Mus musculus: one gene and its partner. The protein of the gene in region 1 interacts with the protein of each later gene in a pairwise test. Links are inferred from orthologs where the notes say so. Each region holds a gene or a part of one and is shown in the gene's direction. Other genes may lie near its edges.

Region 1 (5,758 bases):
ATCGAGTGGGGAAGAGCTGTTATGGGGCTGCCGGGAATAAATGCCATTGATCTTATGGAGAAGATTCGAAACCTGTGGCTGAATAAATCAAACTTCTTGCAGAAAAAAGAATGTTAATTAACGGGAAAGGGGGAAAAAATGGAAACCAAAAAAAAAAAAAAAAAAATTAATCAAGAATCCAAAGAAGACAAAACGATGAGTGAACGTTCCTTAAAAGCCATTCTGAGCTTAATGGGGAGGCTGGGATTACAGATAACATAATAAACTTTCTGATGAGTTATGGTTTCCTGAAAGTCGGCATGAAACCTTACCTGAAGAAGGAAAATTAAGAGTATTGATTGCACTCTGCCCTTAGGTTTTCGAGACTGGGTTCCAAAGGAACTTCAAAGGGTGGGCTGCGTGGAGCTCTTAAACACAGTCCAGAGGCGCATTCGGCCCAAGCTCCATGTGTTCGGTGGGATTCACGAAGGTAAGAACACAGGGATGGACTACGTGCATTTTCCATGGCCTCACCCTCTCCAGCAGGCAGCCTGGGCTGGACATAGCACGGTGAGAACACAGTGATCCTCGAGCTTTAGTCAAAAGGAACTCGTTTATGAGACGAAACCTCATGAGAAAAGCTCACGCCTATGAGGCTAAGAAATATTTTGTATTGTTGCCTTTTAAGTAGAAAGGCAAGTAGGAGCCCTGTGGCTGAGGTTATTTGAAACAATGAAATCTCTAACAGAAAATGTTCACTGGTTGGTTTCTGTCTTTCAAGGTAAGTTGAGTCAAGACCCCAGAACCCAAAAGATTCACGGAACCTTCAAGGCTCTGGGTTTTTGTCTGCTCTGCCTTTTCAAACCAGGATGTCACTGGGCTTTTGTAGACAAGCAGTGTCAGCTGATCTTGGGGTCTCAGAAATTACAAGACTGGCCGGGGTGTGTATATTTGTACGAGGCAGAAGTGCTTATGTAGGCAGCTGCCATGATTCCCACTGCTGCTCACTGTGGCTTTCTGGGGTTACTTATAAATGTCAGAGTCAAGTTGAGGTGTGTGGGGGCTGTGTGCTTGGTGAAACGGAACGCCAAGTCTACTCCACAGAGTCCACAAGCACGGTGGCTTCCTAGTTAGGCGAGTCATAAAGAGCATATTGAGAAATTATCCTCAGAGGCCAGAGAAAAATCAACTTACTCCAAATACAGGCACCAGCTAACTGGTGGGAAAGCAGGGGTGCAGCTCTGGCAGGAGGCAGAGGGGAGGCATTGGAGCTAGCGGGTGGGGCTGAGTCTCCTCTGCTCCCTAAGCAGGGGTGAGTGAGTATTCTTTAAGAGAGGGAAGAACAGAGAGATGGGACAGCCTATATAAACTGTATTTCCTGGAGGACATGATAGGGGTGGGGCTGTTATCTTGAACACTAGTTTGAATTCCTGTAGGATTCCTTTGAGTTTGAATTTCACCCTTTAAAAGGGGGGAGAGGGGGGCTAAGTCATTAATTTACCTTAAACTGGCCAGACAATTGGAGAATTCCACTGAAGCCCCACAATAATAAACTTGCTTTAAAGGGAAGTGATCATATTCAAATAAACGTGACTTGCTTTTATTCACTTAAGACAGCTAAAGAGGGCAGAGAGAGGGCAAATACCAGCCTCTTGATGGAGAGAGATAACAAGACTTTATGACCCCGGAACCAAACAGTGCACATTTTAAATGCAGCTTTTCTTTTCTTAAGAGATTTTTCCATTGACCCTCATTAAGCTCTCCTCGGGCTTACTTGGAAAAATTTTAGCAAATGGAGCAGGAGGAGGGTGGAGGGATAAGAACCTCATCAGTAATTTCTGCAAGTCCCAGTCATTTTATTTCTCCTTTGCTGTTTTTATATACCACGGAGTCCAGTGTGGACATAGAATTATCGACTCATTGCATAAGCTGTAAGGTGTCCCCGGAAACGTGCAAACTTCCAAAAAGCCCAAAAATGTCAACATGCTAAAAACTATAAAGAAAGTCTACATGCCAGGGATGCCATGACATTGTCTCAGCTTTCATGTTGGGGTGCTTTCCTCTCTGCTCTGTCTGGGTATGGTCAGGAAACGGGGTCCTGTGGAGATGTCTCTACCTCCCGCAGTTGAAGAGGCAATGCTTCTGAGTGAGGGGGACTTAGCGTTAAAGTCACATAACTCAGGTAGAATCAGTGATGTGTGGTTAGTTGTCATGGAGACAGATCGCTGTAGGAATGAGGAAGAACCTCAGCTCTTTCATCTCTCTCCTGGAGCCAGGTTGTGTGCTCTTAGGCTGCCCACTTCCTTCCTGCGACTTAATAGTTAATGCAGGAGTTTGCAATGAAGTTGATACTTGAAAGGTAGGGGAATACTTTCCTTTATTCTCAGTGATACAGCTATCATGTCTTTTGCCTGATGAGTTCAGTGTTTAAGCAAAGAGGACACAGGGAAGAATCACTCTTTGTTGGAGGGGAGAATTCTCCCCCTTTTAAAGCAAACAGCAAAGTTGGCCAGGAGCTCCTGAAATCTGTGGTATCTGGAAAGGCCCACTGAATTTCATCCCCCTGCCCTCTGACAAAGATGTCCTTGTTCTCCCTGCCCGTGGCCCTGTGCTCAACTGCCTCCACCATTTGTGTATACTGCAGTAACTGTGACACTGTCTTCCTACAGGGTACGGCATCATGACCGACGGTTACACCACCTACATCAATGCCTCAACCTGTACAGTCAGCTTTCAACCGACCAACCCTCCAATCATATTTGACCTTCCAAACCCACAGGGCTCCTAAAGCACTCAGCATCCCGTTGGAATGTGAGGGACGGTCTACAAACTGCCATTTTTCTAATTATAAACTCACATTCTCTGATTTGTTTATTTCTAAATCCTGTGAGTTCTTTTTGTAAATTGTTGGAACAGGAGGGAAAAGAAAAAAGAAAAAAAAAAAGATGCTAGCGTTGTGCCGCCTCTTTTTTGCTTTTTTGAGTGGGGTATCCATTTGAAATCAAAGGAACATTGTGAATTTGTAAAATGACTTCTGTTTGCTCAAAGGCCACGCCATTGTAAATTGTTAGTATTTGCCAAAGGACAGCCAAGCTTTCTTTAAAAAAAAAATGATTATTTTAAAAAGTCTTATTTGAATATGCTTTAAGCTGAAAGGAAAAGATTAAAAAAAAAAAAAAGACAGAAAGAAACACAAAAGCAGTGTTTTGAAAAATCACCCAGATTTGCACAACTCTGAGTATTGTTTGATATGTTTTAATTTTCAATGTTTTGTTGTTGTTTTCTTGGTATTGCCTCATTTTTATTTTACAAATGTGGCCCCAATTTAGAGCAATCTCAACAGAAGTTGGTTAGGAAAAACCTTAGCTTCTCTCTGGCTATAAAGAAGACTGTGTCTGAGGTGGGGGAAGAACAGCCCTCATGCAGAGGCTTAGCCAGAGATCCATATCATGATGCTACCAACTCTCACTGTTTGTTTCTTTTAAATTATTTGAGCTTTAAAAATAAGGAAACAAGAATCTGTCAAGAGATGGTCATGCAAGGAAAAAGAAAGTGTGCAGACTCCCTTTCCATGTGGATTTATATATATATATATATAACTATTTTTTGTGCATTACGACTCAGTTGGGAGTTTAATCTTGCCAAGGACAGTACAACTGCAAAGCCACATCGGTAGCAGCACACCAGACGTCTGAAGGAACTGACCCATTCTTTCTTCAAACTCAAGGTCTTAAAGAACTTGAGTCCAGTCTAGGTACAGTAACCAGTGTGTATAGACTCCAGTGGATGCATCGGAAGCGAACTAAATAAGGCTTAGTCGTCCTTTCTATTTAAAGGCCCTGTTTTGTCTTCTCACTCCCCTCCCCCTCCCATTTTGCACTGTGTGTTGATGCAATCTTCGCTAGCACAAAATATTGTTGCTAATAATCCTTTCTGGTCTCCCATTGTCGATGCCATTGAGCGCTATTCTATTTTATGTTACCTTCAAATTTAGGAAAGCAGTTGTTTTCTTTAAATTTATTGTGATACTCTATATCTAGCGGCCTTTATATGCAAATAAAATTGCAAGATTTTTAAATCGGTGCTGCGTGGTTGGGCTGCCTGGGGGAGGGCGGGGTAGGTTTGTCCTGGGGCTAAGATGGTTTATTTACATGCGATTTGAGTAATCCCCTTCTGAACAATTAGAATAGTGGGTTTGTTTTTCTAATTTTTCAATAACTGTTTATGGCCTACCAATCCCAGGCTGTCAGGTCCATTGACAAGAGGTTCTCCCTGCAGCACACTGGGGATCTGGTTTGTCTCGTCTTAGATTGCAGAAGGTGCAGCTTCCATCTTTGGCCACTGTAATGTATGGGGACAGAAAGACTGACAAGGCTGTGACTGCTGTTTGGGATGTGACAGTGGTAGTGAGCAGAGGGCGCCTCAGAGGACAGACACCCTCTCACTAAAACATTCTCATTTATCCTCATGACGTGCAGTGGTCACCCCCACCCCATGGTTTCATTTCTGTTTGAATGAGTCCACTGACATGTTTTTTTTTTTCCAATGAGAAGCTGGGGCCAGTGGTAGGCTGGGGAAATTGTATATACCTCTTTCATTTTGTCTAGATCAGTGGTTCTCAACCTTCCTAATGCTGCAACCCTTTAATACAGTTCCTCATGTTGTAATAACCTCTAACCATATAATGATCTTGTTGTTACTTCATAACTGTTATGTCACCACTGTTATGAATCATAATGTAAATATAGGATGTTCAGGATGTCTGATAGTTGACCCTTGTAGTGGTTGTGACCCTCAGGTTGAGAATAACCATTGAGGAAAAGCACCTTGCTATTGTTGTTTGTAGGGCCTTTGCTTGTTTATAGAAGGTTATTTTGTGTTTTATTTTATTGTTGTTTCCATTTTCTGAAACAGTGTCTCAGATAACCCAGGCTGACCTAGAACTCTGTGTAACAGAGGAGGACCTTGAACTCTTGACCCACCTGTCTCCACTTTTTAACTGTGGGGGTTTACAAGTGAACATCCCCGCACCCCGAATTGCAACAAGATCTTAAATCTGTGCTAAGTCTGTGCCCACTGCATTGCATTTCCGTTCGGTCTAACTATTGTGATTCTTCTGATGCTATTCCTGGAAGGAATTCTTGATTTCAGCACCAGCTGGAACAGTCTTCTTCAAACGACAGCACAAATTCTCATAATTATCTCTGTCCATTTTAGCTGCGTCTCTTAGGCTTGTCCGTTTCTGATCTGACACTGTGCAACGGGTGCGTGGGCTTCCAGACGAGAAGAGTCTGTGACTGTGGGAGCTGAGATGGATGAGGTCCTGAGAGAAGCTCACAATCCTCCCTTAATCTGCTGACTTGGTGTGAAGATTGTTGCCTTGGTGCCCTTTCCTAGGGGATGGACAGAGATGCAAAGTACTGAAAAGACATTTCACCTGGCTGTTAACCATGACGTGAGCTCAGACATCTCTACAAGGCAAAGGAAGATCTCCAGGGATGGAGGGATGGTCCTGAGGACATGGGTGTGTACACAGCCCTGGAAACCACATTTGAGCACCAACAGATTAAGTGAAACACTTGCTAAATTTGCCTTCCAGTGTGTACTCTTAGGAAATGGCCCATTCTGCTATATCTAGAGCATTGGACTGACCATCCACAGAAATTTCTGCAACCAGGCCACACTCCACATGAACTGTTTCTGGGACTTCCGTAAGGACTGTCTAAAGCCTTTTCTCTTGGCATAACATAGCAAGGCATCATTCAAGAATGGTGGCTAT
Region 2 (7,686 bases), on another chromosome or scaffold:
GGCTGGCTAAACAGTGAGCTTCAGGCTCAGTGATGTCAGGACTGGAACTGGATCCCAGCACACACATAAGAACCTGCTTAGATGTTGTGGATCCCTGTTTAGTTATTTATCTGTAACTCCAGCTCCAAGGGAGGGACTTGGTATCCACTTCTGCCTTCCCCACATGCGCACAGGTATGTGCACACACATGTGTATACACTCACACAGACACATCCACACACATAAAGAAAAGATGAAGTGGAGAACTGTTGAGGAAGACACCCGGCCTGTCCCCCTCTCCCCCCACACACACACTGGAACACAGACAAGCAGATAACACAGATTTACAGAATTCCTTACACACCTGATAGTTACTGCCGCCATTCCAGGTACAACCCTTGGTGAGTTTTCCAGTTGCATCGTCCAAGTACCAATCATCATCATCATCATAGTCGTCTTCCTCATCGGTCTCAGCGTCGCCCTTCACCTCTGCTGCAGCATTCTGGAGGCTTTTAAGTAGAACGCCGCCATCTTCTGCATGGATTGGCTGCAGTTCTTTGTTTTCACTAGGAACAAGAATGTTCTGGCATGTTTATCCATCCTCCAAAGGGAAAAACACACACATACACACCTTACGTTCCCCAATCTGCTCCGTCTTCTTAACATCAAGTTCTCTGTCTCCTCATCTGCAGCAATGCTTTATTCTCCACGTCCGTGTACCGTCAGTGGGTGTTGGCTTTGCTTTTGCCTTAAGTCAAGTTAGAATTTACACTATCATCTTGGGTAAATGAACTGACTCTGACTAGTGCACAAGACCAGACTCTAGTCAAATCATTCATACACCTACTTTCAGGGGTGTGTGTATCAAAATTTGCCTTTCCTTAACTCTCTGTAATACCAGGAGCCGTAGCAAGACACTCCTAAGACACAAATAACTCCAAATCACCTTTATTTATAAAAGGAAGCAGTGATGGAGAGGCCCAAGACTACACAGTGAAGTGGGCCAAGTATAGGACAACAAGGGGGGACTATCAAGAGAAGTGGTCTAGAGAGACAAAAGTACAGCCAAAGGGAGGAGAGGTTCACAAAAGATGCAGACCCTGTTGTTACTGATCTTCCTAGTTTTTCAAGAAGCTAAAACACTCAATATTTATGTAATTTTTTTCACATAATTGCCAGGTTCAATTTTTTTTAAAACATTGTACATTCCAAACAAAACATATTTACCACCAAATTCAATAAAATTCAATTCAGTGTTGCTAGCTTTGACCTTTCCTGCCTCTGTGTCCCAGGTGCTAAGATTAAAGATGTGTGTACCTCACCTGACCATAAAAAGAGCCATTTTTTTTTCTTCTAGTTCTGAGGACCCAGAGCCTTTCCCTCTCTAGGTAATCACTCTGCCACAGACCTAATCCCCAGCACCTCAGGCCGCCCCGCCTCTCCCACCCCCTTCCCCTTTGTTGTTTAGTCTTGTTTGAGACAGAGCTCCCTGTTGGGTCTGGCTGCCCTGAAGACACTATGAAGCTAGAGCTGACCTTGAAATCATCAATATCAGATGCTTCTGCTTCTAGAGTGCTGGGATTAAAGACGCTGTACCACCACACCTGGCCCCCAATGGGTCTTAAATAAGTTCAGTCGTCAACTCCAATTTATTAATTGGCTACAGCCCACAGGGCTTTAAATGCCCACGGGCATGAGTAGGAAGGAGACTATCATTTGATAGCTGCAGTTTACTAGGGCTTCATAAGTATCATACATAAATTACTCTTCACTTACAAATCTAATAATCTAGACAGGTATGTTAAAGGCACAACTATGTGAATGCTCTCAACTAGTCAATCCTCTGCTGTGAGGTTGTCTTATGCGGAACTACCTACCAGATACCACTAGTGTCTCAGCCCAGGTGTGACATATAAAAATGTCTCTGGATTGGTGCAATGGCAAAATCAGATCCAGCAGAGGACCATGGGTGCAGTCTCACAATATCCTGCGTGTATGGGGCCTGTGGGCAAAGTAAGCTTGTCCCTTCTTCCCACTTAAACGCTTCCGTAAGGATTTCTCTGAGATGATGTGCCCATTCCTCAGTGGAAGGCTGGAAATCTCCAACATCTCCGGCTAAGCCCTACTTACCCTCTATTTACCATATGTTATTGATCACTCATTTTTTTCCTTTGTACTATTCACCAATTTTAATTCAAATAATTTACCTCGTGTGAATATCTATCTCCCCTAGCAGAGGCCAACCCCTGTGGCAATCAAAACGGTAGTCACCAATATTTCCCTACCACTCGATCTGACACACAGAGTGGTCAATATATATACTTATCACAACCGCTCACAATTGATGAATAAAATCTTCCTGACTATAAGGTACGCAAAACTCTTTGTTGTTTCAAAATGGCTATGTGTAAATTCTCTTTTCTTTTGAACGGGAAGTTTTCCGTCACTGCTTGCTTTTGGACCTCACATCCAATTTCACCACAAAACCTCAACACTGCTACCTCGAAGTCGTTCTACGACAGCAGCTCTAGGAGCCATCCGGTTTGAAGCTGGTTATTTATTTATTTACTGATTCTCTGCTCCACTCCTCTCTACGAACATCTTCTACATGACTCACCAGTTCCTTTAATTCATAAATCAAATGACGGATGCTCTGTCGCTGCAAAAGCCCTCCTCTGGCCTGTAAGACCTGAACAGGATCTTAACTCCTCACAGTCACTTGGAAGGCTCGACCTGGCTGGCCTCCCTTTTTTGCCTCAATTCTCTCCGCTACGCTGTAGGTGCTAGCCTCTTGGTTTGCCCTCCTTTCCAAAAAGACAGTAGTGACTTGATTTGTCTTGTTCATCATACTCGCAGAGGTAAAACTTTTGCTCACTGTGTATGGAAGCCTGTATGAAGAAAAGAAAGGAAAAAAAAAAGGCCCACCTTCCTCAGTGGTCCCCAACTCTTGCTTCTCTGCTAAACGTCCCGGGACCCACTGACAGGTAGGTAGCTTTCACAAGCTGCTCACCCCGAGAAAAATCCAAAGCCGTCAGCTGTCAGCTCCCCGAGCCCAATGTGGAGCTGGCGGAATCGGAGGAGTCCCTGTGTCACCACCGGCCGCCTACCTGTCTGAGGAATCCGCGTCGTCAAATTGCCCGGGGACCACCGAAGCCATCCTGTCCAGACTGCAGTCCATGGCTAGGGGTGTGAGCCTTCGGCGCCCCTGAGGCCGCGATCGGAAGAGCCTGCTTCCCACCTAGAGGATCCAAACGCGTCTCCGCGATTCCCGCCCCTCAAATCCCTCGGCAACCGCCAGGCCCAAGAAGGCAACGACCAGGCGCCACCGGGGTGTCAGGATACAGGGTTTCGGCAAACGCGGCCACCAACAGGCCGGAAGTGCAACGCCGGAAGTATGCCACCAGCAGGGCCTCTCCAAACCCTAGTGCCCTCAGGGAGCATGCGCGTGACGGTGGCCGGGAAAGACCAATCCGCGATGTGAAGTGGGCGTGGTGCGTTGTTTGTAGCGTGGGATGTGTAGCTCTTGTTGCTCCCCAGCCTTTCGTTCTTGCTCCACCATGGCGTTTACGGTCATAGGAAGTCAGCCTGTTTTTTTTTTCCTCCGGCTGCTCCTGAAGACTTGCGTCCTCTGACCTTCTTCCTCTGGACCCAGGTGCGGTCCGGAGGACGTCACACTGGGGCGTTCGAGCGCCCTGCGACGCACCAGTTGGTGCCCTCGGTGGGGACGGTTGGAAGGTGTTCTCCCTCCCGCGGAGCCGGTGTGCCGGGAGGAAACCCGGAATCCTTAGCCTGAGTCACAGAAGCTCGATGGATCATGGAAGTGAGCACACTTTTGCTCTCTAGAAACGTTGGTGCGTTGTTTTGAGATGCAATGATACAAGTGGTTGGTTTTTGTTGTTTTTTTTTTTTTAAGTTGGGAAGTTCAAGGTTTTTTTTTGCGTTTGGCAGGAACTCTTGTGACACCTCTTTCTGCCTTTATTAAATGTTAAAATGTTAAGTATTATCTAGCGCGCGCTTGTGTATGCGTGCTCCGTGAGTGAAGTTCAGAGAATAACTTGAGGGCTTACTCCTTCCACCTTGGGCTCCGGGAACCGAACTCTGGTCGTCCGCGCTTTTTCCTGTTCAGCCATCTCACAAGCCCTCATTATCTTCAAACGGTTTTAACTCAAGCCGAGCGGTGGTGGCACACGCCTTTAATCCCATCCCTTGGGAGGCAGAGGCAGGCGGATCTCTTGAGTTTGAGGCCAACCTGTTGACAGGAGGGGCTACACAGAGAGACCCTGTTTCCTCGAAGAAGAAGAAAAAGAAAAGAAAAAAAAAAACAAACAAACAAACAATGGATTTAGGTAGAATGGCTAACCAAGCCTGGGTGGTGGTGGCTTGGTTCAGCACCTGGTTGGGCCAGTCACAACTACTATAATTCCGGTTCCAGAGGATCCTACACACACATGGCACGGGTATACTAAACAGGCACATACATTTTTTAAAGTGTAGTTGCAAGTCACAGGCCCATGGAAAAGAAACATTTTGCGTTTGGAAAGTGATTTAAGGCACTAACACATCCCTGTCATCGAACAGGTAGTGTTTATTTGCAGGACGGGAAAGGTGAGCCCAAGGTTGAGTCCTCCAGCAGCCCTGCCTAGCTTCCTTAGCCTACTTGGTTTTTTACAGTTTACCAAATGATGACATCGATTTGAAAACGTCTTCAGTAAATAAGTAATCTAACAAAGTCATCCAGGCAGACAGGTACTAAGGATAGACTGAGACAATCTGATAATATGCCACTAGAATGGGGGGTATTTTCAGCCTGTGTTTTAACTGTGTAGACCAGAGTTTCTTAACTAAAGATCATGGCCCCATAATGGGGTGGGGAGAGTCATGATAAATTCTCCACACCCAAAACTTGATTCATAATTTAAACGGTGGGGTGAATCTGACAAATTTCGGGCAATATTCACCCATGATAACTTCACACAGCTTTCACTGTTCTCACCACTATACCAACTCACAGCAGCAAACTGCCTGAAATACCTCTGTTCAGATTTGAAACTTATATGTTCCTGTTAGGGTCCAAGAATAGCTGAAGGAAGACCCCAGACTCAAATAGGATGCACAGGCAAGAAGAGTGTTTACTGAAGAAATTACCAGCATTCAGGGGCCAACCATTTATCAAAACGGCAACCACCTGAGGGGCTCATGGACCCCTTTAATGGAGGGCTAAGAGAATTTTCCAGAAGGATTAGGTAACCTCCAATAGGGGGGCAACGCAGTAACATTAGTACAATTCTGATTGGTTGTTAACCTAGTTTCATTGTAATTGCTGAGACCAAAGAATTTTGGAAACCAGCTCTGTTCTGGCCTTGTTATCTCCTCCAGCTAGGTGGCCTCCAGCAGTTCCAGACTTAGCCTCCCTAAGTCAGGGCCATCTGACTGAAGGCCCATTGTCAGCAACTCCTGGGGAACCCAGTGTGCCTCCCAGGAAATGAAAATTTTATTCCCAAGGCTTTGGACTTCTCATTATGAACTGCAGAGTTTTTTTTACTGTACATTGCAGTTTTCTGGTCTTACAGAAATAATCGTTTCATTACAGAAAGCAGACCTAATGTTTTCCTGGTTCCATTTCTCAGCAGATAAATATTAAAATAGTATATCTTTGGATGGTATTATGTCAGATAAACACATCTAATTAGTATGTAAATTTGCTTTCCTATTTAACAGGTAGTAAAATTATATGTATATCAAAAGAATTTTAAAATAAATTTCTGTATAATTTATTATCAGTAAGTGTTTTGTTTGTAATTCTACTTTATGTGCATGTAAACTTTACATAGTGAGTAGGAAAAGTTTTAAAAGCCATGAACTAATCTATCCCACTAGATGTAAAAAGAGAAGACTGTAAATAGGAAAATCAGGGGCTAGAGATGTGGGTGCAGCTGGGAAAGTGCATACTGCTCAGACAAAGGACTGGAGTCTGGTTCCCAGTGCTCAGGTCAGGTGACCCCCCTCTTCCTGTAACTCCAGCTCGGACACCACTGGGGACACCACTGGCTTCCCAGGACTCCTTGAATCACAAGCACAGACATGCACAGACATACAAATACATGCACATACATAATTACATCTAATAGGAAAATTAGGCCCAAGAAAGAAGAGAGCTGGCATGGAACAGGACTGGTGTGTGTGCAGGAAGTATTGAGAAACTCTAGACTCCTTGCTGGACAATTACAATGTGGATATGGAAAGTTAGTGACACCCTTGCAGCTTAAGACTGAACAGTAGACAGTGGTGACTTATGAGAGAGCAACGCAAATATACCATCACAGAGACTGTAAAGCTAGACAGTTGGTGCGCTGGCTTTTGCCAGCTTCATACACTATTTGAGTCACATGGGGAAAGGAAAGCTCGATCTGGGGGCTCTCCATCAAACTGCCCTGTGGGCATTTCTGTGGGGCAATTTCTTAATCATGTATTGTTGCTGGAGGGTCCAGCCCACTGTGGTCTGGGCCATTCCTGGGTTGATGGGCCTGGGTTGTTTTTAAAAAGGTAGATGAGCAAACCAATAAGCAGTGGTCTTTTCCAGTTCTACTTGAGTTTCTGCCGCGTTCCCTCAGTGATAAACTGTGAACCAGAAGTAGAAGCCACAACCCTTCCAAGTTGGTTTTGGTTATGTTTGTTTGTTATAGCAACAGGAAGCCAACTCTGGAAGGTTCGAGGAGAGGCACAGGCTCAGTCAGACGGCTGGGATGTTAGAAAGCATCCCTTTGTACGGAGTAGTACTGGGTAAATGATGTGGATGTAGGGTTTGAATGCCTCATGGACAAACAGAAGAATTTGGATTTTATGGCTACACCTACATATCCTATCTCCTGATGGATGTGTATAAGAATACAGATCAGGGGGCTGGAGCGATAGATAGCTCAGCCATTAAAAGCTAGGTGCACAACCAAAAATATAAGAATACAAATCAGGACTGGAGAGATGGCTCAGTGCTTAAGAGCATTGACTGCTCTGTCAGAGGTCCTAAGTTCAATTCCCAGCAACCACATGGTGGTTCACAGCCATCTGTAATGGGATCTGACGCCCTCTTCTGGAGTGTCTGAAGACAGCTACAGTGTACTCATAGACATAATATTTAAAAACAACAACAACAAAACACAGATCAGTAGTGAGGACAGGAGCTAGAATGAACACGTGGATTATGGACAAATACACAAGGGAAAAACAGACAGAGTTGGATAACAGTAGCTATGGGAGATAATTTAGGACTTCTACCATGCCTCTAGGTTTCCAACTTTTGTCTAACGTCATGAAGGTAGACCAAAATGAAAGCAGAAACTGAGGCTGAATATCATGGGGGCAGCTCATAGTTCCAGCAATCAGAAGGCTGAGGCAGGAGAATTGCCATGAACTTACGGCAGCCCAGGCTACAGAGAAAGACCCTCTCTTAAAAACAAAACAAATTTAAACCCAACAGGTATGGGGTAGGAAAACCTGTACAATGTTGGATTTGACTTAGTGTGTTGAAATAGCAATAAATAGAAATTTTGTGAAAACTAAAAAGTTTCTGATAGTAGTTTGGAAATAGTAGAACTTCTTTGCTTTGCAGAACATTATTAGATAGAAGCTACACACATTGGCTTGACTTTGGCCAAGTCACTATTTGCTGTGATACCAAGTTGGAAAATGGCATTTTAAAATCTAGAGTAG

What was found.
Region 2: the proteins of Mpped2 (region 1) and Cage1 interact in binary tests that used the Homo sapiens proteins (3 or more experiments, as listed by UniProt). The two-hybrid records come from large-scale screens. The link is inferred for Mus musculus from reciprocal best matches to the Homo sapiens genes MPPED2 and CAGE1.

The regions. Positions count from the first base shown.
Region 1 is NC_000068.7:106,864,300-106,870,057, forward strand, and holds the end of Mpped2 (metallophosphoesterase MPPED2), read left to right. Parts: intron 1-355; coding exon 356-469; intron 470-2,648; coding exon 2,649-2,767; 3' UTR 2,768-4,061; downstream 4,062-5,758. UniProt on the Homo sapiens protein: Displays low metallophosphoesterase activity (in vitro). May play a role in the development of the nervous system.
Region 2 is NC_000079.6:38,032,932-38,040,617, reverse strand, and holds the start of Cage1 (cancer-associated gene 1 protein homolog), read left to right. Parts: upstream 1-3,680; 5' UTR 3,681-3,793; coding exon of another isoform or gene 3,794-3,799; exon of another isoform or gene 3,800-3,830; intron 3,831-7,686. Other genes in the region: Riok1 (serine/threonine-protein kinase RIO1), read right to left, coding at 344-545, 3,087-3,157.